5 linked regions of the Oryctolagus cuniculus genome follow. The protein of the gene in region 1 purifies or fractionates together with the protein of each later gene. This does not show direct contact. Links are inferred from orthologs where the notes say so. Each region holds a gene or a part of one and is shown in the gene's direction. Other genes may lie near its edges.

Region 1 (4,113 bases):
AACGGTAACTATTGCATATGCGTTTTATTTTTCATGTATGTCTTGCAGATCACCTGCAATTCTGCTTAAATCCTGATGGCTGCGAGTTTTCTCGCAGTGTGTTATCTGAGCTTTTCACCATACTAGAAAGGATGTATTCCAGTCTGTCTGTATGTATTTATTTATTCTAGGCCAGATTTGGTCTTACCTTTATAGCTTCCCAATCTAATGCCTACAGCGAGCTCAATAAAACTGGTTCGGGCTCCTGCGTTATTAATCCATGGTATTTTCTTACTCTATTTTAAATAAAATAACTGGGGTTTTGAAGGCAGCCCTTTGAACAGTGATTAAGGGATGCGGGAACGGATACCTTGGCCTGTAATGTTGTAATTTGGTACAGTTTTTTTCCTTTTTTTCAAATTAAGACCGAATGCCCTCCATCCCGCCTGCTACCGCGTGTTCCCAGATCTGATCCCTGCCAAGGGCCGTGGCCCCCGCCGTTAACAGCCCCTCAGCCAACCTCAGACACAGGGCCCCGCGCGGCCCGGGGGCGCCGCCCGCCCTCCGCCTCTGGGCGACCCCCGGGGGCCGACGCCAAAGCGTCCCCGGCGGGGCCCGAAAACTCCACGCAGTCCTCGCACTCGGCTCCGAGCGTCCCCCCCCCCCCGGCCACGGCCGCCGCCCGCCCCCGCCCTCCCGGGCGCTCACGACCCCGGGCTGGGCGCCGTCCCCCCAGCCCCTCCGGGCCCCCGGCCTCACCCGCCGCCGCCGCCGCCGCCCTCGGTCCCGGCCACCGCGGGCGGCTCGGCCGAAGAGTCGGCCCCCGGCCCCCGGCCCGGCATCTCCCCGGCGCCCGGACGGCGAGCTGCGTGCGGGAGAAGCGGGCCCTGCCCCTGCCCCCTCTGCACGCGTGCGTCAGGCGGGAGGTGTCGGGGCGACACCTCGGGAAGCTGGGAGGGCTAGGAGACCCACGACCCCGGATCTGCGGGAGTGCGTTACTTGGTGGCGAGTCTGTGCTTTCGCATCTTTTTGTGCAAGGGACGCGTCACGGGAACGAAACGCACACGCTCCCCTGAACACGAGGTGCCTTCCACCTCAGGGTTCCAGACCCTCAGCACATTTGCAAAGCTTGGGTGGCACCGTCCGAGCCCAACGCCAATGCGCAAACCAAGAATCAGGGATGCTGAGCGTTTGCCGTTATCCTTTGTCTCCCTGGCAACCAGGCTCCGGCGGCTACCCAACCGCGGGTTTCCGCCAGCCGCTTCTGCGCACGCGCAAGACCTCCTCCTTCACTCTCTCCCTCCCTCCCTCCCACCTCTCTCCTCCCCGCCCCTTCCGTGTCTCCCGGACGCGTTTCTCACGGGACTTGGCCCGCGGAACGTTCCGTAGCCGGAGGTGTGACTTACCCGGAAATGTATAAGGAGCTTCGGTTGCGATTGGTTCGCACCTCGCGCTCCCGGAAGTGGGTGGGCGTGGCGCCAAGGCTGAAGCGGGAAGTGTGCCGTACGGCCCTGGAGAAGCCGAGGGTCGGCATGCCTCGTTACGCGCAGCTGGTCATGGGCCCCGCCGGCAGCGGGAAGGTGAGATTTGGTGGGAAAGGAGAGAAAGATCGTAACCCGTGTGAGGCGAGGGTTCGGTCCTGAGAGAAGGGCGTGTACCGAGGGCCTTGAGACTCCGCGCCGTTCGCTTCTGCTCTCGGTCTTCGGGGTCCTGTCGTCTTGCAAGGGGGTCGTGGCGGTTGTTGGTGGACGCTTAGGCCCCGGGTTGGAGTAGCCCAACCCTAGGAGATGGGTCTTCTTATTCCCGTTTAGGGAAGGTCGCGCGCGTACGAGTCGGGACCTGAACTGGAATCCGGGTTTGTTTTGTTTTTCTGACTCCAGAATCCTGTCCTTTCTCCCTCCCAGGAGACTAAAGTGGGGTCTTTGTGGGTGTTTCCCAAAGCCTGGGACGTGGACTTCTGGTATTTGAAGGGATTTTAGATGGCAGTGGGACCCCGCGTTACGGAACATCGGCTCGTATGCTCAGAACATTCCCCCTTCCCCTTCTGGATTCCACTGCGGTGAAGCTACGCTGGCTTCTAACGTAGCTCCATTTTTTAAAAAAAGGACTTATTTTATTTATTTGAAAGTCAGAGTCAGAGTTAGAGAGAAGGAGAGGCAGAGAGAGAGAGGTCTTCCATCCGCTGGTTCACTCCCCAATTGGCTGCAATGGCCAGAGCTGAGCCAATCCAAAGCCAGGAGCCAGGAGCCTCTTCCAGGTCTCCCACGTGGGTGCAGGAGCCCAAGGACTTGGGCCATCTCCCACTGCTCCCCAGGCCACAGCAGAGAGAGCTGGATTGGAAGTGGAGCAGCCGGGACTTGAACCGGCACCCATATGGGATGCCGGCCCTGCAGGCGGGGGCTTTACCCGATACACCACAGCGCCAACCCCCATGATGTTTTTTGTCAACAAATATTAAGGGCATGGTGGTAGTAGCACTCAAATACTGTAAAACCAGTGAAGATATTGAGCAAATAACGTAGTTGGGGAAACACTGGAGTTTGTGGAGGTGTCAGGAGGCGTCAGTGTTCAGCAGAAGCACCTGCTGAGCCACTGCCCCCTCCTATGCAGGAGGTTCCACACGGGACTGAGATTTGGCCGTCTCCTGCCCAGGGGCACAGCCTGGCTGGGAAGAACGGTGACTGCCAGTTAAGATACAGCTGGATGGGGAACTGGCTGTTAGCCTAGCAGTTAAGAGGTCTGTGTCCCACATCTGCACGTCTGGGTTCAGTGCCTGGTGCCAGCTCCTGGGTCCAGCACCACGGTGCCGCAAGTTGGGCTGCCACCTGTGACACCAGCATCTCACGGGCACTGGTTCAGTTCCCGGCTGCTCCACTTCTGCTCCAGCTCCCTGCGAATGCATCTGGAAAAGCACCAGGAAGTGGCCCAGTGGTTTGGCCCCTGCCACCCACGTGGGAGACCTGGATAGAATCCTGGCTTTGGTGCAGCCGTTTGAGGAATGAATCAGCAGATGGAAGATCTCTCTCTCTGTCTCTCCTCCTCTCCCTCCAACTCTGCATGTCAAATAAATAATCTTAAAAAAAAAAAAAAAAAAAAAGGGAAACTGAGTTCCTGCCAGCTGCGTGGCAGATCTGGATTAAGATCTTTCTCTCTCCCTCCCTCCCTCCTTCCCTCCGTCTTAAAATTTAAAATAAATAAAAAAGGAATGAGAAGACAATGCGGTGTATGGAGAGGGCTTCCTAGGCAGAGAAAACAGTGTGTGTGAAGGCACTAAGGGGAGAGCATGATGGGAATTATTTCTTTTGACAGAGGGTGGGAGGGATAAACAAGTAGATGCAGGATTTTTATGTGATGTAGTAAGGACTACACAAGGGATAAGGAATCTCTGAACCAGAATTTGAGGGGCCAGTGTGGTGGTGTAGCAGGTTAAGCTGCCATCTGCAATGCCAGAATCCCATATGAGCATCAGTTCAGTCCCGGCTGCTCCACTTCTGATCCAGGTCCCTGCTAATGTGCTTGGGAAAGCAGTGGAAGAGGGCCCGAGGAGCTGGGTCCCTGCCACCCACATGGGAGACCTGGGTGGAGTTCTGGTTCCTGGCCTCAGCCTGGCCCAGCCTCGACCATTGCAGTCATCTGGGGAGTAAACCAGTGAATAGAAGACCTCTCTCTCTCTCTCTCTCTCTCTCTCTCTCTCTTCCTCTCTCTCTCTCTTCCTGTCTCTGGTACTTTGCCTTCCAAATGAATAAATAAAAAAATAAAATCTTTTTTTTTTTTTTTTTAAGTTGCAAACTGCTAGCCCACCTCCAGGCTGTATATTGGCCTTGGTGTTCCCTCATCTAGAAATGCTCTTCCTCTGAGTTGGCAAAACGTTCCCGTAGGCTCAGGTATCCCCTACTAAGAGACACCGTCCCTGGCCGTCCTACCCAAGTCTTTGTTTGGACCTTGCTGGTTCTAGTGGAGACACGATGTGTTGGGTGCTGCACCGTGTAACCAGAAGCCTCCCCTTTGAGTTCCTTTTCTTCCACGTTAGAGCAGTGATGGGCCTTGGTTATCTTGAAGGGCATCCCAGTTAGAGAGGAGACACCTGAGGGCAGAGTGGGGAAGCACCTTCCCCAGAGTTCCCATGAGTCCACG
Region 2 (4,230 bases), on another chromosome or scaffold:
AATGCGGTGATATTGGGAGGGGGTGGACCTGTAAGAGATGGGGTGCAGTGGCAGGTAGTAAGGTGACTAGGAGCACTGCCCTGGGAAAGGATTTAGTTCTCTCAACTGCTCTTGGGCTTCTTGTCTTTCCTTGTGACCCTTCCCTCGCCATGCTGCCATGTGCCACGTGCTGTGTGATGCAGTCAAGGGAGCCCTCACCAGAGCTGAGGAGCCAGCGTCATGCCCTTGAACCTCCCAACCTGTGAGCTAAACAAATCTCTTTCTTCATGACTGAGCCTCAGCTATTTCATCATAGCCACAGAAAGCAAGCTGAGACACGATGCAAGGGTTCTACATGTATGGGGAAGGATTGGAAAGTACTACACATATTTACCAATTTTCATGAACTTTTTAAAAATTGTAAAATACACATAAACCTTGCTATTTTAATCATTAAAAATGGTTCAGGTTCATTGGTATTAAGCATATTCACAGTTATGCAAACATCCAGCTCCCCAAACACTACCTCTCTATCTATTAAGCAACTATTGGTATCTTGTGCCTTGTTTTTCACAGTGGGATTTTTTTCCTCCTATTGATTTGTAGAGCTCATTCTGAATTAGGGAGACCAATCCTTTATCTTCCCCCAACTTGTGTATCTAAAGAAACTCTATGATGTTTAAAAATGTTTATAAAATTAAATATCTTCCAAAGAATCATAAAATCATGTTTAGAATTCTATTATCCTTTATAAAGACTTCCGGGTTGCTGCTTTCACTATCTTCACATTACAAATACATTCACTGGCATTTTGAGATTTTATCAGTGAAATATTTAATCCTTATAGGATTTACTTGTGTTTTGCCTTTTTTTTTTTTTTCAAACCAAATGGCTAGTCAGGTGTTCCAGCATCACTTATTGGGTTTCCCCTATTGCTTTAAATATCATCTTTTCCTATTGTATTTCTACTTGTGCTGGTTATCGAACTTACTCCTTGGTCTTACTGTGCTGTTACGCCCTAGTCTGTAGTGCGAATTTCTCCCCACTTTGTGTCCGCTGTGATGGCTGTATGCTATCCCACCACACGCATGTACCGCGGTTTAGGTAATCAATACCCTACTTCTAGGCATTTGGGAAGTTTCTTGGTCTTCCAGACTACATAGTGCGTTTTGGATTGAACAAAATGAATTCTCCTAGTGCTTCAAATTGTGCAAATTATCCGTTCGCACTCTTCCTCGAATTACTTTTAAAATTACCACCACTGTATTCCGCTGCCCTCAATTATTGGCCAATACACGTGTAGGTCGGAAATTGGAATCTTTCGGGCACGACCTCGGAGCTGCACCAGGGGGCGCAGTTTCCAGCTCGGCCTCGACCACATCCGGGTTCCACCGCAGGTTCGTCCCGTAGCAGGCGGAACCTTTCTGTCGTGCCACCTGTGAACAAGCGCGGCGGGGACCATTTAGGCCGTTGCGCACCGACCTGCAGAAGTGCTTCGGCTTGCTTGCCGAAGGCCGGCGTGGAGGTTCAGTGTGCTTTTTCCTTCGTCGTGAACAGCATGGACGTGCTAGCGGAGGAGTTTGGAAACCTGAGCCCAGAGGAGCTTGCTGCGCCGATCCCGACTGTAGAGGTGAGTGTACGGCGAGCGGGCTGTGGAAGGGACCGGGACGCTTCCTGAGGGGGCGTTGCCCAAAGAGCCCTGGGGCTGAGGGAGGCCGGCTGGTGTCTTCTGCGCATGCGCAGGGCTTCCGCGCATGCTCAGAGCCCTGCGCGTGCGAGTCGGGCTCATGGACCGGTTGGTCCCGGCGGAGCTGTGTGGCGCCGCGGCTTCGGTGGCTCTCGCTGTGGAACCCTTACGGCACGGGCCCGCGTAGGCACTGTGAGAGACGTATCGCGTCTTGGTGGGCCCGTGGCGGACACCGAGTTCCAGGGAGCTTAGGCCAGTGTCGAAGTCCGAATTCAGGGTTGACGTTTTGGCCTCAGCGATGTTTAAACACGCTGAATATTAACTCAGCTATAGGCCTGTGTGTTTTCTGGGGAGAAGCCCCATAGCCTTCATCCGGCTCTCGGAAGGTAAAGGTAACTGCCCCACAGTGAGCTGCCCAGTCACGTGCAGCTGTTGACAAATTTAATTTCCTGAAAAAACACCGTTAAAAAAAAAGTTAATTCATTTGAATGGTGGAAAGATAGAGATCTTCCATCCCCGCTTCACTCAACAGCTGGGGCTGGCCCAGGCTGAAGCCAGGAGCCGGGAACTCCATCCTGGTCTCCCGCGTGCGTGGCGGGGGCCCTTGAGACATCATCTGCTGCCTCCCAGGGTGCATTAGCAGGGACCTGGATTGGAAGGGGCTGTCCCGGGGCTCCGGCTGGCACTTGAATGAGAGCAGGCATCCCAAGCAGTCTTTTTTTTTTTTTTTAAGATTTATTTATTTGAAAGGTAGCATTAGAGAGAGAAAGAGAGAGGGAGGGAGAGAGAGAGTGCTTCCACCCGTTGGTTCATTACCCAAATGGCCGCAACAGCTGGAGCTGGGCTGATCCGAAGCCAGAAGCCTGGGTCTCCCACGTGAGTGCAGGGACCCAAGTGCATAGGCCATCTTCCACTGCCCAGCAGTGCCACAATGCCTGCCCCCAAATCCATGTATTGTAACCTCCCTAAGCTTCAGGACCTTCGCTGGCTTGAGGGAGAGAAGTAGTGAGCCGGGAGGAGCTAGTGGGAAGAGAACTGGCAGAGCGGACAGGATACTTGGAAACCTCTAGGCGAGAAGAGCCGTGATGTTACCGAGGGACTGAGGGAAATCTAGTAGTACTAGAGGGAAGAAAAATAGAGGACGAGAGGAAGGCTATGGGAGGTTCCTGATTATGAAGGATTTTCTTAGACATCTGAAGGAGTTTGGACTTCCTCCTGGGAGCAGTGGAGTGCTTTTGGAGGGTTTTAGCAGGACAGTGACATGGTCAGTGAGTCTATTGGATTATTAGAACTTCTTTATAATTACTTGGCAGTATTACAAAGTTGAGTTATAATCACTCCAACAGATTCAGTCTATGAGTGTGTGCAAAGCGTGCTGATCACCAGGCAGTACCCTGAAGAGGTTATCAAAGCCAGTGTTTACTAGTACTTGTCTGTACCAGGCTCTGTTTTGCCATGATGTGTCTTGTTGTTTAATCCTCTGAAATAAATCTTATTTTCACTCGCATTTAGCTGGAAAGATTTGCTGGCTAGGTGTTAGAAGGCTGGGCCAAGGCCCATGTAGAATTTGGACTTGTCAGTGTGACTCCAGTCTTTTTTTTTTTTTTTTTTTTAAAGATTTTATTTATTTATTTGAAAGAGTTACACAGAGAAGGAGACGCAGAGAGAGAAAGAGAGAGGTCTTCCATCCGATGGTTCACTCCCCAGTTGGCCACAGCTGCTGGAGCTGTGCCAATCCAAAGCCAGGAGCCAAGAACTTCTTTGGGTCTCCCACATGGGTGCAGGGGCCCAAGACTTGGGCCATCTTTTACTGCTTTCCCAGGGCGTAACAGAGAGCTGGATCAGAAGTGGAGCAGCCGGGACTTGAACTGGCGTCCATATAGGATGTTGGCACTGCAGGCGGCAGCTTTACCCACTACACCACAGTGCCAGCCCCAAGTCTGCATCCTTAACTGGTGACAGGACCGACCCCTTCTCTGGAGAGCTGAAGAAGCAGCCGTAGAAGATTTCTGTTTCTTGTCTGAATTTGCACAGCCCTGAAGGGAACCAGTACCACGATTCCAGCCTTCTGGTTCAGAAATAACCATTTCTTTCCTGGCTCTGTGCATCTGAATCACATCATGCTGCAGGGGCTTGATTTTGGTACCTTAAAATAACTTTTTTGAGGCCAGCATTGTGGCTTAATGGTTTAAGTTGCCACCTGTCATGCCGGCATCCCATGTGGGTGCCAGTTCAAGTCTGGCTGCTCCATTTCTGACCAGCTCCCTTCTGATGTGTTTGGGAAAAGCAGCAGAGGATGGCCCAAGCCCTGTACCCACATGGGAGACCCGGATGAAGCTCTTGGCTCCTGGCTTTGGATCAGTTCAGCTCCGGCTTTTATGGCCATTTGGGGAGTGAAACAGCAGATGGAAGATCTCTCTGTCTCTCTCTCTCTGTTACTCTGCCTTTCAAATAAATAAATAAAATAAATAAATAAATTAAAAAATAACTTCTTTTTTAATTAATTACTTAGAAAATAGCCTTTTTCATTCGGATCTGGCTAAAAAGCCAGTGAGAGTATCTCA
Region 3 (4,249 bases), on another chromosome or scaffold:
CAAAGGCAGGCCAAGTGGTCCCCAGCATCCCCCGTCTCTTGCAGGCCCAAGGAGGAGGTCACAGTGAAGAAGGAGAAGCGGGAGAGGGACCGAGAGCGGCAGCGGGAGTGGCATGGGCGGGGCCGGGGCCGCCCGGAAGTCATCCAGTCCCACTCCATCTTTGAGCAAGGCCCCGCTGAGATGATGAAGAAGAAAGGTACAAGGAAGGGGTCAGGAATGGAGGCGGGGCCAGAGCCACGGAGGCAGGCCGGAGCCACGGAGCGCCCGCTGCCGGCTAGCTGCTGAACAGGGTGGTTTCCCGCAGGGAGCTGGGATAAGACCGTGGATGTGTCGGATATGGGTCCCTCTCACATCATCAACATCAAGAAGGAGAAGAGGGAGACGGACGAGGAGACCAAGCAGATCCTGCGCATGCTGGAGAAAGACGACGTGGGTGCCGGGGCGGGGAGGGGGTTCGCTATTGCGGGGGCTGCCGGGGTGGGAGGAGCGAGGGGCAGCGGCCCGTGACCCCGCAGCTCTGCCTTGGCAGTTCATCGATGACCCTGGGCTGCGGAACGACACCCGGAACATGCCTGTGCAGCTGCCGCTGGCGCACTCGGGCTGGCTGTTTAAGGAGGAGAGCGAGGATCAGGATGTGAAGCCTTGGCTGGCCGGCCCCAAGGAGGAGGACATGGAGGTGGACGTGCCCTCTGTGAAAGGTATTCCGGTATCCCTCAGGCCAGGCCTGAGCTGCTCCTGGGTAGGCCCTGCCCCGTTCCACCTGTCGTATGTGTGAGCTGGACACCCGTACTATAAATATATTACTGTATACAAACCCTCTCGGAGGATTCCCGCGTTGACCTGCCCGGGGGCCACGCCTCCGACAACCCTGCCTAGCTCTTAGAGCTGCGCGTGCTCTCTCTCGCCCCTCACCGTTGTCAGTCTCCCCGTGGCTCCTCGCTGAGCGGTAGTGGGGTGGACAGGGCAATAGGTGGCATGGAGGCGCCCACTTCGTATCTCCTCTGTGTTTGTTACCCTGGGCAGTAAAAGAGGAGCCACGAGACGACGAGGAGGAGGCTAAGATGAAGGCTCCTCCCAGAGCGGCTAGGAGGACGCCAGGCCTCCCGAAAGACGTGTCTGTGGCAGAGCTGCTGAGGGAGCTGAGCCTCACCAAGGAGGAAGAACTGCTGTTCCTCCAGCTGCCGGACACGCTCCCCGGCCAGCCGCCCACCCAGGACGTCAAGCCCATCAAGACAGAGGTGCAGGGCGAGGACGGGCAGATGGTGGTCATCAAACAGGAGAAGGACCGGGTAGGCGTCCCGGGGAGCCCTGGGGGAGCCCGAGGTGGTGGGGTGAAGGCGTGCAGGTGCAGGCATGCACTCTCAGCACCTGCCAGAGCCTGGGCTTTGCACTGCCAGCCCCAAATCCGTGTACGTGCGCCTGCTTCCTAGAATGAACAGTTTCAAACATGCAGGCGTACTTGGAAAAATCCGTGGAAAGTGCACATTATGAAAAGCTGCACGGCTTTCAGGCTGTTTTGCACCACAGGAAGCCTCATTTTCCAGAGGGTTTTTTTTTTTTTTTTTTTTTTTTTAATTTATTTTATTTAGCTGAATGGCAGAGTTTTAGAGAGAGAGAGAGATCGAGATCTTCCATCTGCTGGTTCACTCCTCCAATGGCTGTGATGGTCAGGGCTGGGCCAGGCTGGAGTCATAAACTTCCTGCGGGTCTCCCACATGGGTGCAGGGGCCCAAGGGCTTGGGCCATCTTCTGCTGCTTTCCCAGGCCACAGCAGAGAGCTGGATCAGAAGTGGAGTAGCCGGGACTAGAACCAGCGCCCATGTGGGATGCCGTGGTTTCACCCACTGCACCGGAGCGCCAGCCTCTGCAGTCATTTTTACATCTTTTACAAGGGCAGAGACTCCTGTGTCCCATCCCTTAGCTGCAGCTGTTGTTGGTTTGTTTTAAAGATTTATTTATCTGAGAGAGTTGCAGAGAGAGAGAGAGAGAGAGAGAGAGAGATCTTTAGTCTGCTGGTTCATTCCCTAGGTGGCCACAGTGGCCACGGTTTGGCCTTGCTGAAGCCAGGAACTCCATCCAGGTCCCCATGTGGATGGCAGGGACCCAAGCACTTGGGCCACCTTCTACTGCTTTCCCGGGCCATTGGCAGGGAGCTGGATTGGAAGTGGAGCAGCCGGGACTTAAACTGGCGCCCCATGGGATGCCAGCATTGCAGGCAGCGGCTTTATGTACTATGCTACAGTGCCAGCCCCAGCTGTTGATGTTTTATACATTTGTTTTCTCTGTGTTTTGGCCATTTTTTTTTTTTATTTTTAAAGGTTTACTTATTTATTTGAAAAAATTAGAAGGAGACAGACAGAGATCGATCTTCTGTCTGTTGGTTCACTCCCCAGATGGCTGCAATGGCCTGGCCTGCGTTGGGCCAGGCCAAAGCCAGGAGCCAGGAAATTCATCTGGGTCTCCCATGTGAGTGCAGGGGCATAAGCACTTGGTCCGTCTTCCACTGCTTTCCCAGGGAGCTGGATTGGCAGTGGAGCAGCCAGGACTCAAACCGGCGCCCATATGGGATGCCAGCACCACATGCTGTGGCTTTACCCACTACGCCACAGTGCCGACCCCAGGTTTTGTCTTTTAACCGATGGCAGATTGCCCTTGGAAAAGGCCCTCTCTGGGGGCCTTACCCTGGTCTGGGCTGCCAGTGCCTTCCCCTGGGAGATTGGGGTTTGTTCCTGAAGGGTGGAGGAGAGAGCTCCTTGCCCAGTCTGCACCCCCTTCCTCTCTCCACAGGAAGCCAGGCAGGCAGAGAACACGTGTGCCCTGGCTGACCTCACGGAGGGGCAGGTTGGCAAATTGCTCATCCGCAGATCAGGGAAGGTGCAGCTCCTCCTGGGCAAGGTGACTCTGGACGTGACCATGGGGACCGCCTGCTCTTTCCTGCAGGTGAGCACCCTGTGCCGCAGGGAGAGGCGGGCAGGGCTCGAGCCCCGAGGAACGGGAGCCGCTGGCCAGGGACAGCTGGGGGTTCTCACCCCGTCTGTCGCTTGGCAGGAGCTGGTGTCCGTGGGCCTTGGAGACAGCAGGACGGGGGATCTGACGGTCCTGGGCCACGTGAAGCACAAGCTCGTCTGCTCCCCTGACTTCGAGTCCCTCTTGGATCACAAGCACCGCTGAGCAGCAGATGGAGGAAGCTGCGCCTGCCCACGGCTGCTGCCTGCCGCAGGCGTTTTGTTCTGGAGTCTGTGGCCCAGAGGGGGCTGTGTGGCCTGCCCACTCGGGCCTCTGGCAGCTGGCGCCCCACTTGCACCCCGGGGCCCCCGGGCTCCCTCCCGCAGTGTGGATGTGGCATATCCTTGCTGCTGGGGCCTAGTCCTTGCTATTTATTTTTGTATTTATATCTTAGCATCTGCAGCCAGCTGCGTCCCCGGTGAGGGTGTGGGGGAAGTACAGGCCCCTCCTCTCGATGCCTGCAGGGCCGGGGGAGGAGGGTGTGGAAAGGCCTGGCCTTTGCCCGTGCGCCCTCCCCCACGAGGCCGTGTGGGCGAGAGCAGAGGTGGAGTGTGGATGAGAGGACTCGTCCATTCCTAACCTTTCTGAACCTCACGTTCCTCATCGGACGGAAGTGGGGCTAGCACCTGCCTCGCGGGGTTGGCGTGAGGATCGAATGGAGCTCTCTAGGTGGCAGCTCCTTGCACACAGCCAGACGTGTACCTGGTGGGCGCTCAATAAATGTTTGTTTCCTCTTCCTTGCCTGAGTCTGTGTTTGTGCAACGTAGAGCTTGCCTGTCCCTCCAGTGACTAGAACCGCACACTCCCCACTTTTGTGCCTTCACTGTTTCTTTTAAAAATTTTTGCTTGTTTATGAGACAGACAGAGCTCCATCCGCTGTGTCACTCCCCAAATGCCCACAGCAGCTGGAGCTGAGCCGTGACCGCAGTCTGGGTCTCCCGCGCGTGTGGCAGGAACCTAATCACTTGAGCCATCCTGCCGCCTCTACCTCTCAGGGTGTGCGTTAGCAGGACGCGGAGTCAGGAGCCAGAGCCGGGGCCTGGACCTGGGCCCTGCGGTGCGGGATGCGAGGGTCTGGGCTGCTAGGCCGAACGCCTGCCCCTCTCTTCATCTTCCTCACCCTGGGTCCTGGCCCTTTTCCTGGTTACTCTTAGCCAAGTGCTTCCTGTGTGTTACCGGGCGAAGATGGCGTTGGAAGAATGGGAAGAAGTCCGGTTTCTCCCCACACCCTACACCTTGGGTG
Region 4 (3,967 bases), on another chromosome or scaffold:
CAAAGTAGGGAGCCAGGAGCTTCCTCTGGGTCTCCCACAGGCCCCTGTTTCAGGGGCCCAAGGACTTGCTGCCTTCTCAGGTACATTAGCAGGGAGCTGGATCAGAAGTAGAGCTGGGGCCAGCACTCCAGCCGTTGCCGCCATTTTGGGACTGAACCAGCAGATGGAAGGCCTTTCTTGCTGTCTCTCCTTCTCACTTTCTGTAACTCTACCTCTCAAAATAAATAAATAAATAAATAAATAAAATCTTAAAAAAAAAAGTGGAGCTGCCAGGACTTGAATCGGCATCCATATTGGATGCCAGTGCTGCAGGTCATGACTTTATCCCACTGCACCACAACGCCAGCCGCCAACAATTTTTTTAAAAAATATTTATTTAATTATTTGTAAGTCAGAGTTACAGTGAGAGAGAAAGGAACAAGTCTTCTATCCACTGGTTCACTCCCCAAAGGGTACAACGATGAGGCCTGGGCCAGGCCAAAGCTGGGAACCAGGGGCTTCTTCCAGGTCTCCTCTGTGGGTGCAGGGCCCCAAGCACTTGGGTCGTTTTCCACTGCTTCTCGCAGGCTTTTGGAAGGGATTTGGATCAGAAGTGGAGCAGGGGCTGGCGTTGTGGCATAGCGGGTAAAGCCGCGGCTTCCATTGCCGGCATCCCATATGGGCGCCAGTTCGAGTCCCAGCTGCTCCACCTCTGATCCAGCTCCCTGCTATGGCCTGGGAAAGCAGTGGAAGATGGCCTGAGTCCTCGGGCCCTGCACCCACGTGGGAGACCCTGAGTAGGCTCCTGGCTTCAGATTGGGCCAGCTCCGGCCTTCGCGGCCATTTGGGGAGTGAACCAGGGGATGGAAGACCTCTCTCTCTCTACTTCTCTCTAACTCTGCCTCCCAAATAGATAAAACCTTGAAAAAAAAAAAAAGGCTACTATCCACCTAGATACTTAACACCACATTGACTATGGGAAAGCAGTCTGTAAAATACTTGCTGAATGACTCCGCTGTTAAAATAATTATGTCATCTTTCACCAGGAATTAATTCAGTTTAAAATATTCAGTTCACAAATACTTTAAGTTACTTGGCGGAGCGGGCAAGGTTTGAGCGCCAGTCGGAGGAACCGAGGGGCGGAGCTTCATCAATCCTCCACAGGGAGGCCCAATCGTATCCATCGACTGGAAGGAGTCCCGCCCACTTCCGGCGGACCCGGAAGCGAGGGGCGGCTGCGCGGCGTGCGCTTCCGGTGAAGCCAGTGGGTCGGTGTTTGTAGCGCTGGTGGCGGCTTGTTTTAGAGTCTCGTCGGGGAAGATGTTCTACCACGTGAGCAGGGCGCGGGGTGATGGCGAGGGCTGGGTCGAGAGGAGGAACGGGGCGCCGGTGCGGAGGGCTGCTGCTTGCCCCGTATCCTCCGTCTGCGTTCCGCTGTCTCCGCAGATCTCCCTGGAGCACGAGATCCTGCTGCACCCGCGCTACTTTGGCCCTAACTTGCTCAACACCGTGAAGCAGAAGCTCTTCACCGAGGTGGAGGGGACTTGCACTGGCAAGTGAGTACTGTGGCCGTGCGTGTGGTCTCGGCGGCGCGCACACGGGACCCTGTACCTGCAGCCGCCCCCCTCCCAGCGTGGGCTGCAGCACCTTGCCACCCACGCTGGGGAGCGCTCCGTAACTTCCTTCAGCCTAGATTTCTCATTCTTTTACTGCGCGTTTTTCGAGCTCCTGCTGTGAGCCGGGCCCCGTGTTGGGCCCTGGGAACATGCAGAGAACAAGATGGAATGAGGCCAGCACGCGTGGGGCTCACAGTTTAACCCTTGTCCCTCGGTTTCTGCTGAGCCCAGGGAGTTGGCATGGCACAGTGTGTTTCCTGAGTGAATGACCAGAGAATGCGGGTCGACGGGGTGAGGAAGGAAGGAGGCTGGGGCTTGACTGTCCTTGGGTTCTTCCCAGAGCGGTAGGAGTGGACTGGAACTCAGCTCGGGGCCGGGCGGTACTTGAGCCTACAGCAAAGCCAGATTACCCTGGATGCACGTTCGTTCCTAAGACTCCTCACATCTCTGGGGCAGGCCTGGGACTCTGCCTGCTCACACGCTCCTCCCAGGTGATTCTGAGGCAGCTCGAAGATTGAGGTCAGAGACTGCAGCCACTTCGGATGTTTGTTGTGAAACAGGAGAGCAGCGCGTGGCCTTTACAGATGCTGATCCCTGCCCTTTCTCTTGGTTCTGAAGCGCTCTGGGGGCAGAGATGCTGTCTGCTTCCCCTCTTAACCCCTTCCCAGGCTCGATGACTCTTGCTGCAGATGGCGTTAGAGGCCCTTCCGCATATAGAACCTTTCTCTTTCTCATCCTCCTCACAGGTATGGCTTCGTCATTGCTGTCACCACCATAGACAACATCGGCGCAGGAGTGATTCAGCCAGGCCGAGGCTTTGTGCTTTATCCTGTTAAGTACAAGGCCATTGTTTTCCGGCCCTTTAAAGGTGAGGTCGTGGATGCAGTTGTCACTCAGGTCAACAAGGTGAGTCCTCACATAGAGGAGGCAACGGGGTGGTCCCTGGGAGGAGCTGGTTTGGGTCCCTGCTCCTCTTGCTAACTCTGTGCCTTTGGCTAAGTCACTTTTTTGTACTTCAGTTTCCTCACTTGGCAAATGGTTCTAGGAATCTTGGTCCTGCCTCACTCAGGAGGCACGTGATTCAGTATTAATAGTCGTAAGGGTAGAGTCCTGGGGCCAGCGCTGTAGCCCAGCGGGTTAAATCCATGACATACGGCACCGACATTCCATATGGGTGCAGGTTCAAGTCCCGGCTGTTCCGCTTTCCATCTAGCTCCCTACTAATGCTCCTGGGAAAGTGGTGGAGGATGGTCCAAGTCCTTGGGCCCCTGCACCCATGTAGGAAACTCAGAGGAAGTTCTTGGCTCCTGGCTTTTGCCTGACCCAGCCCTAATCATTGCAGCCATTTGGAGAGTGACCCAGCAGATGAAAGATTCTCTCTCTCTCTCTCTCTCAAGTCCTAGGTGTAGGCTCTTTACTACTGCACTGTTTTTACTTAACTTAAAATGAAAGATTGGTGCTGGCATTGTGGTGCAGTGGGTTAGGCTTACTTACATTCCAGTATTGTTGAGTATCAGTGTGCCGGTTGGCATCCAGGTGCTGTTTCCTGTGCTACTTCCTGCTAATGTGCCTGAGAAAGCAGTGGAAGATGACCCACGTGCTGGGGCCTTGCCACCCACGTGGGAGACCTGGCTGGTATTCTGGGGTCTTGGGTACAGTCCCAGCCACTGGGGCCATTTAGGGACTGAACCATTGGACAAAAGATCTGATTCTCTGTTTTTTCTGTCACTCTGCGTTTCAGGTACATAAAATAGCTAAATACATAATGAAATGTTAATAAAAAAGAGAAGTGCAAACAAATGCCACAATTCATACCGGTCATAGAACATGAGTAAAATTGTAGGAATCAAGTAAAAATGGGAACAAAAGACTTGGAGGGGAAGAAAAAGCGAAATCATTCGTTTTCCTTGTAGGTTGGACTCTTCACAGAAATTGGGCCAATGTCTTGCTTCATCTCTCGACACGTAAGTCTGGGACACCGGGTAGGCTGGGACACCGGGTAGGGGCTAGAAAGATGCGCCCGTTTGTGGTCATCTACTGAAGCATCTGTTGAAAGTGCTGACCCTCCTGGGTTCTATACTCATCTCTGGCTGCTGACTCCAGCCTCTGCTAATGTGCACCCTACGAAGGCGGTTGGTGATGGCTCAAGTGACTGGGTCCCTGCTGCCCTGGTGGGAGACCTGGACGGAGTTCCCAGCTCCTGGCTCTGGCCCCAGGCTTGGGCCACTGTGGGCATTTGGAGAGTAAATCAGCGGATGGGTATTCTCTGCCTCCCAAAGAAGTGTATAGATAAGGAAATGACAGTGTTGACCTACTTTGACTTTTCCTTTCAGTCTATCCCATCAGAGATGGAGTTTGATCCCAATTCCAAC
Region 5 (3,510 bases), on another chromosome or scaffold:
CTTTGAGTGCTGCTTGTGGTTAGAGATGGGGCATATTATGGAAGCAGTGAGACTAGCCTCACTGGAAAGAGGATTCTTGTTGAAAAATACTTTTGTTTTTAAAGCCAAATAATTGAACAGATTTTATGTTGGTGGGGGAGTATTAAATTTCAGGATACTTAGCCAGTATTTCATAATAAACAGAGCTAAGGAGAGAATTTATTGATTTTTTTTATTAGAACCAGTTTCTGGTTACTGCTCCCCCTTTGATTAGTCTGTAAGGGCAAAGCAATGCAGGAAGTGATGGACTCTCAGCAAAATTGTACTTGTACTTGTGTGTTCATGCTATATGTAGGCCTCTGGTGCTGTGAGGACACAGTGAAATAGTTTCTGTTACTCAGTCTAGGATGCTGATGAGGAATCAAGGTTTACATACCTGGTGAAAAAAAATCAAAGTATATAATAATAGTTTCAGTGGGAAGGGAGAAGAGAGGAGGATAATAAACTGTGAAAACAGATTCAGGCAGCATGGGCAAAAACCTTGCTTCTGAGTTTCTTGCCATTGTTTGGTTTTTGAGATCTCCAGGAAAAAAACCTCTTTAAGAGAAAATAGTAGGTAATTACTTGTAGCAGGTGTAACGTCCAAATCGGCAAGTAGTGGCTGGTTCATGCCTGTTTCCAAAGATGGAACATCAGATCCAAACTCAAACTATCACTATACTACTTTGAAAAACAAAATCTTTAGCTAAAAATATCAAAAAGGTGGTTTTTTTGTGATTTTATTATTATAAAGGGACTTGAATGAACTTTCAGCTTTATCCTACCTCACTCTTTATTTGTTTTTAACATCAAATCATCTTATTTCTGGTGTGTAAGAAACTAAAACTTTAAATTTTAGTAATAAAAAGTAATCTGTGAGTAATCTCTCATCTTGTATGCAGTGAGGTATCTTTCTTCATTTCTATAAGGACATTTTAGAAAATCTAGTCAATAAATAAAAGATATAATGATCCTGATTATGTATTATGATCTTGTTGGGAGCAAGAGAGAGATAAGGAAATAATAATGAGGGCCTCTGAAGGTTAAGGAATTTAAAGAGAAGGAATTTTCTGTGCAGTTAGAAGAGATCAGGAAAAGCTAGGCCTTGATGAGTCAGTAGGCCATAAATAGGCAGGGAATGGGTGGCTTCCATGTGTGAGCAGTGCCTGGGAGTTTGGACAGTGGATGAGGTTGTGTCCTTTGGCACCTTCTCCGCTTTCCTTTGGCTTCAGAGACAATTTGAATGCCAAAAGCTGCCTTTTATCTACTTTTAGTCTAAGTCTTGCTAAAACTTTAGATTTGTGTGGCATGTTATCTATAAAACATGACCACTTGGGTGTCTGTGACAATTCAGGTTTTTCATGTACAAAGTGAAACTCCTATTTATATCTAAACTGACTTTCCTCCCATAATCTCTAGGTTATAGTGCTGCCATATCTCTCTGCCCCATCCCCTCTACTACCTCCCAGGTGTCTTTTCTTTATATTTGCTAGCTGTGAAGATCCACATAATTTATTTCCTTAATCTTCCATCTCTATAAATGTTCTTATCTTCATCCCCTCCTGTCACAGTGAAGGTTTGCATCTCTTTTGAGCTATAGTTGTGGACTGTTCTTGCCTAGAGTCTTAACTCCCAGTTGTGCTTCTCCACTCCTGCCAGAATCAAACTTGTAATATGCAAATCTCTACCAGTTATATAGACTGTAACTCTTCCTTGTGATCTGGGCCCAGCCTACTTCCCAGCCTTCTCTTGCCTTTTCTGGCTTTTCCATCCTCTTACTTCTGTATGCTGCAGCCATGTTGCCCCTCACTCCTGGTGCTCGAGTGCTCTTCTCCCCCTGTTACATGGTGAGCACTTATTATTCCAAGGCTGTTCAAATTTCACTTTTTTGAAACTGGCAAACTCCTTGTCCCTTGCTAGAACTGGCCGCAACTGTGATAGGATCTGTGGTATTATATTTCACTGAAACTGTTTACATGTTTATTTTCCTCTTATGGACAGTAAGCCCTATAGCCAATGTTCTTTGAATGAATAAGTGAAAAACATAGCTTGGATTTGATGTAAGATTTTTTTTTTTTTTTTTTTTGACAGAGTGGACAGTGAGAGAGAGAGAGAGACAGAGAGAAAGGTCTTCCTTTGCCGTTGGTTCACCCTCCAGTGGCCGCTGCGGCCGGCACACTGCACTGATCCGAAGGCAGGAGCCAGGTACTTCTCCTGGTCTCCCATGGGGTGCAGGGCCCAAGTATTTGGGCCATCCTCCACTGCACTCCCTGGCCACAGCAGAGAGCTGGCCTGGAAGAGGGGCAACCGGGACAGAATCCGGTGCCCCGACCGGGACTAGAACCCGGTGTGCCAGCACCGCAAGGCAGAGGATTAGCCTAGTGAGCCGCGGTGCCGGCTTGATGTAAGATTTAAAGAGGGAAGGAAGAGGAAAGAGCTTGTGTGTGCTGTATGTATATACTCCTTGACCTATGATGGGGTATGTCTTGGTAGCGCATCATAAATTAGAAATACTACACCTAACCTACAGAATACCGTGGCTTAGTCTAGCCTACCTGCAGTGCTCAGAACACTTATATTCACATACCGTCGGGAGAAGTCATCAACATGTGCCTGTTTTATAATATAGTGACTACCTCATGTAATTTATTGAATGCCATACTGAGAATGAAAAACCAAATGATCGTATGGATGTACTTTACCATTGTTAAGTTAGGAGCTCACTTGCTCTATTAATGGGAAAATACCTGATTGTATAAGGTAAGTTTTCCCTCCTTTAGGTTACCTTCGCGACAGAGTGATTCGTCTAGTCACCGACAGCGGGGAGAGTCTCCTGTTGCCTCAGAAGAGCGGCGACGCAGGGACAAGCAGCATCTTGATGACATCACAGCAGCTCGGCTTCTCCCACTTCACCATCTGCCTACACAGCTGCTCTCTATAGAGGAATCTTTGGCACTTCAGAAACAGCAGAAACAGAATTATGAGGTATTTAGATTACTAATTTTTTTTCTTGTCTGTATGTTGATAGGTCAGAATTTATTGCAGGTAGTCAAGAAGGAAAGAATGCAGTAGAAGGGGTTAGGTGCTAGAGAAATGGTCAGCCATCCCATTGGCCATCAGTCATGTGCCTTTAGTTTACAAAGAGTCACAAAGTTGCTAAGACTTCTGGGAAACAGCTGGAGGTGATTAAGTCTCCCTCAGTATTACAAAGTGGTGATTTGCCAGGAAACATGGGGAGACTACTGCACAATTTTACATCTTAAAGCCCATTGCTGTACCACTTCTGTTAGGATAGGATAGCATTGTTCCTTTGTCTTTCACCTTCTAAATTAGATTCATTGGTAGAATCTAACCCAGAATCAGGGAACTGTAGCTCCCTGGCTTCCGTCTGTACAGTACCAGGGGAGTGCCGAGGAGCAGTGGAGGATAGCAGGTTGCCAACAGATGGTGGGACACACTGCTTACAGCATCATCCGCTTTTAGTGACTTAGT

Evidence for each region.
Region 2: the proteins of GPN3 (region 1) and POLR3B purify together in Homo sapiens (affinity purification with mass spectrometry; 3 studies listed by BioGRID and IntAct, counting the BioPlex papers as one, with this or other methods). This does not show direct contact. The link is inferred for Oryctolagus cuniculus from reciprocal best matches to the Homo sapiens genes GPN3 and POLR3B.
Region 3: the proteins of GPN3 (region 1) and POLR3D purify together in Homo sapiens (affinity purification with mass spectrometry; 3 studies listed by BioGRID and IntAct, counting the BioPlex papers as one, with this or other methods). This does not show direct contact. The link is inferred for Oryctolagus cuniculus from reciprocal best matches to the Homo sapiens genes GPN3 and POLR3D.
Region 4: the proteins of GPN3 (region 1) and POLR2G purify together in Homo sapiens (affinity purification with mass spectrometry; 3 studies listed by BioGRID and IntAct, counting the BioPlex papers as one, with this or other methods). This does not show direct contact. The link is inferred for Oryctolagus cuniculus from reciprocal best matches to the Homo sapiens genes GPN3 and POLR2G.
Region 5: the proteins of GPN3 (region 1) and POLR2M purify together in Homo sapiens (affinity purification with mass spectrometry; 3 studies listed by BioGRID and IntAct, counting the BioPlex papers as one, with this or other methods). This does not show direct contact. The link is inferred for Oryctolagus cuniculus from reciprocal best matches to the Homo sapiens genes GPN3 and POLR2M.

The regions. Positions count from the first base shown.
Region 1 is NC_091452.1:8,131,415-8,135,527, reverse strand, and holds the start of GPN3 (GPN-loop GTPase 3), read left to right. Parts: upstream 1-1,312; 5' UTR 1,313-1,391; coding exon 1,392-1,559; intron 1,560-4,113. Other genes in the region: protein FAM216A, read right to left, coding at 739-821. UniProt on the Homo sapiens protein: Small GTPase required for proper localization of RNA polymerase II (RNAPII). May act at an RNAP assembly step prior to nuclear import.
Region 2 is NC_091442.1:108,967,368-108,971,597, forward strand, and holds the start of POLR3B (DNA-directed RNA polymerase III subunit RPC2), read left to right. Parts: upstream 1-1,430; 5' UTR 1,431-1,537; coding exon 1,538-1,609; intron 1,610-1,749; exon of another isoform or gene 1,750-2,052; intron 2,053-4,230. UniProt on the Homo sapiens protein: Catalytic core component of RNA polymerase III (Pol III), a DNA-dependent RNA polymerase which synthesizes small non-coding RNAs using the four ribonucleoside triphosphates as substrates.
Region 3 is NC_091439.1:1,075,017-1,079,265, reverse strand, and holds the end of POLR3D (DNA-directed RNA polymerase III subunit RPC4), read left to right. Parts: intron 1-44; coding exon 45-196; intron 197-304; coding exon 305-429; intron 430-529; coding exon 530-698; intron 699-1,023; coding exon 1,024-1,289; intron 1,290-2,787; coding exon 2,788-2,940; intron 2,941-3,048; coding exon 3,049-3,171; 3' UTR 3,172-3,743; downstream 3,744-4,249. UniProt on the Homo sapiens protein: DNA-dependent RNA polymerase catalyzes the transcription of DNA into RNA using the four ribonucleoside triphosphates as substrates.
Region 4 is NC_091432.1:8,823,687-8,827,653, reverse strand, and holds the start of POLR2G (DNA-directed RNA polymerase II subunit RPB7), read left to right. Parts: upstream 1-1,159; 5' UTR 1,160-1,299; coding exon 1,300-1,311; intron 1,312-1,425; coding exon 1,426-1,535; intron 1,536-2,341; coding exon 2,342-2,501; intron 2,502-3,508; coding exon 3,509-3,559; intron 3,560-3,928; coding exon 3,929-3,967. UniProt on the Homo sapiens protein: Core component of RNA polymerase II (Pol II), a DNA-dependent RNA polymerase which synthesizes mRNA precursors and many functional non-coding RNAs using the four ribonucleoside triphosphates as substrates.
Region 5 is NC_091443.1:80,576,110-80,579,619, forward strand, and holds part of POLR2M (protein GRINL1A), read left to right. Parts: intron 1-2,798; coding exon 2,799-3,003; intron 3,004-3,510.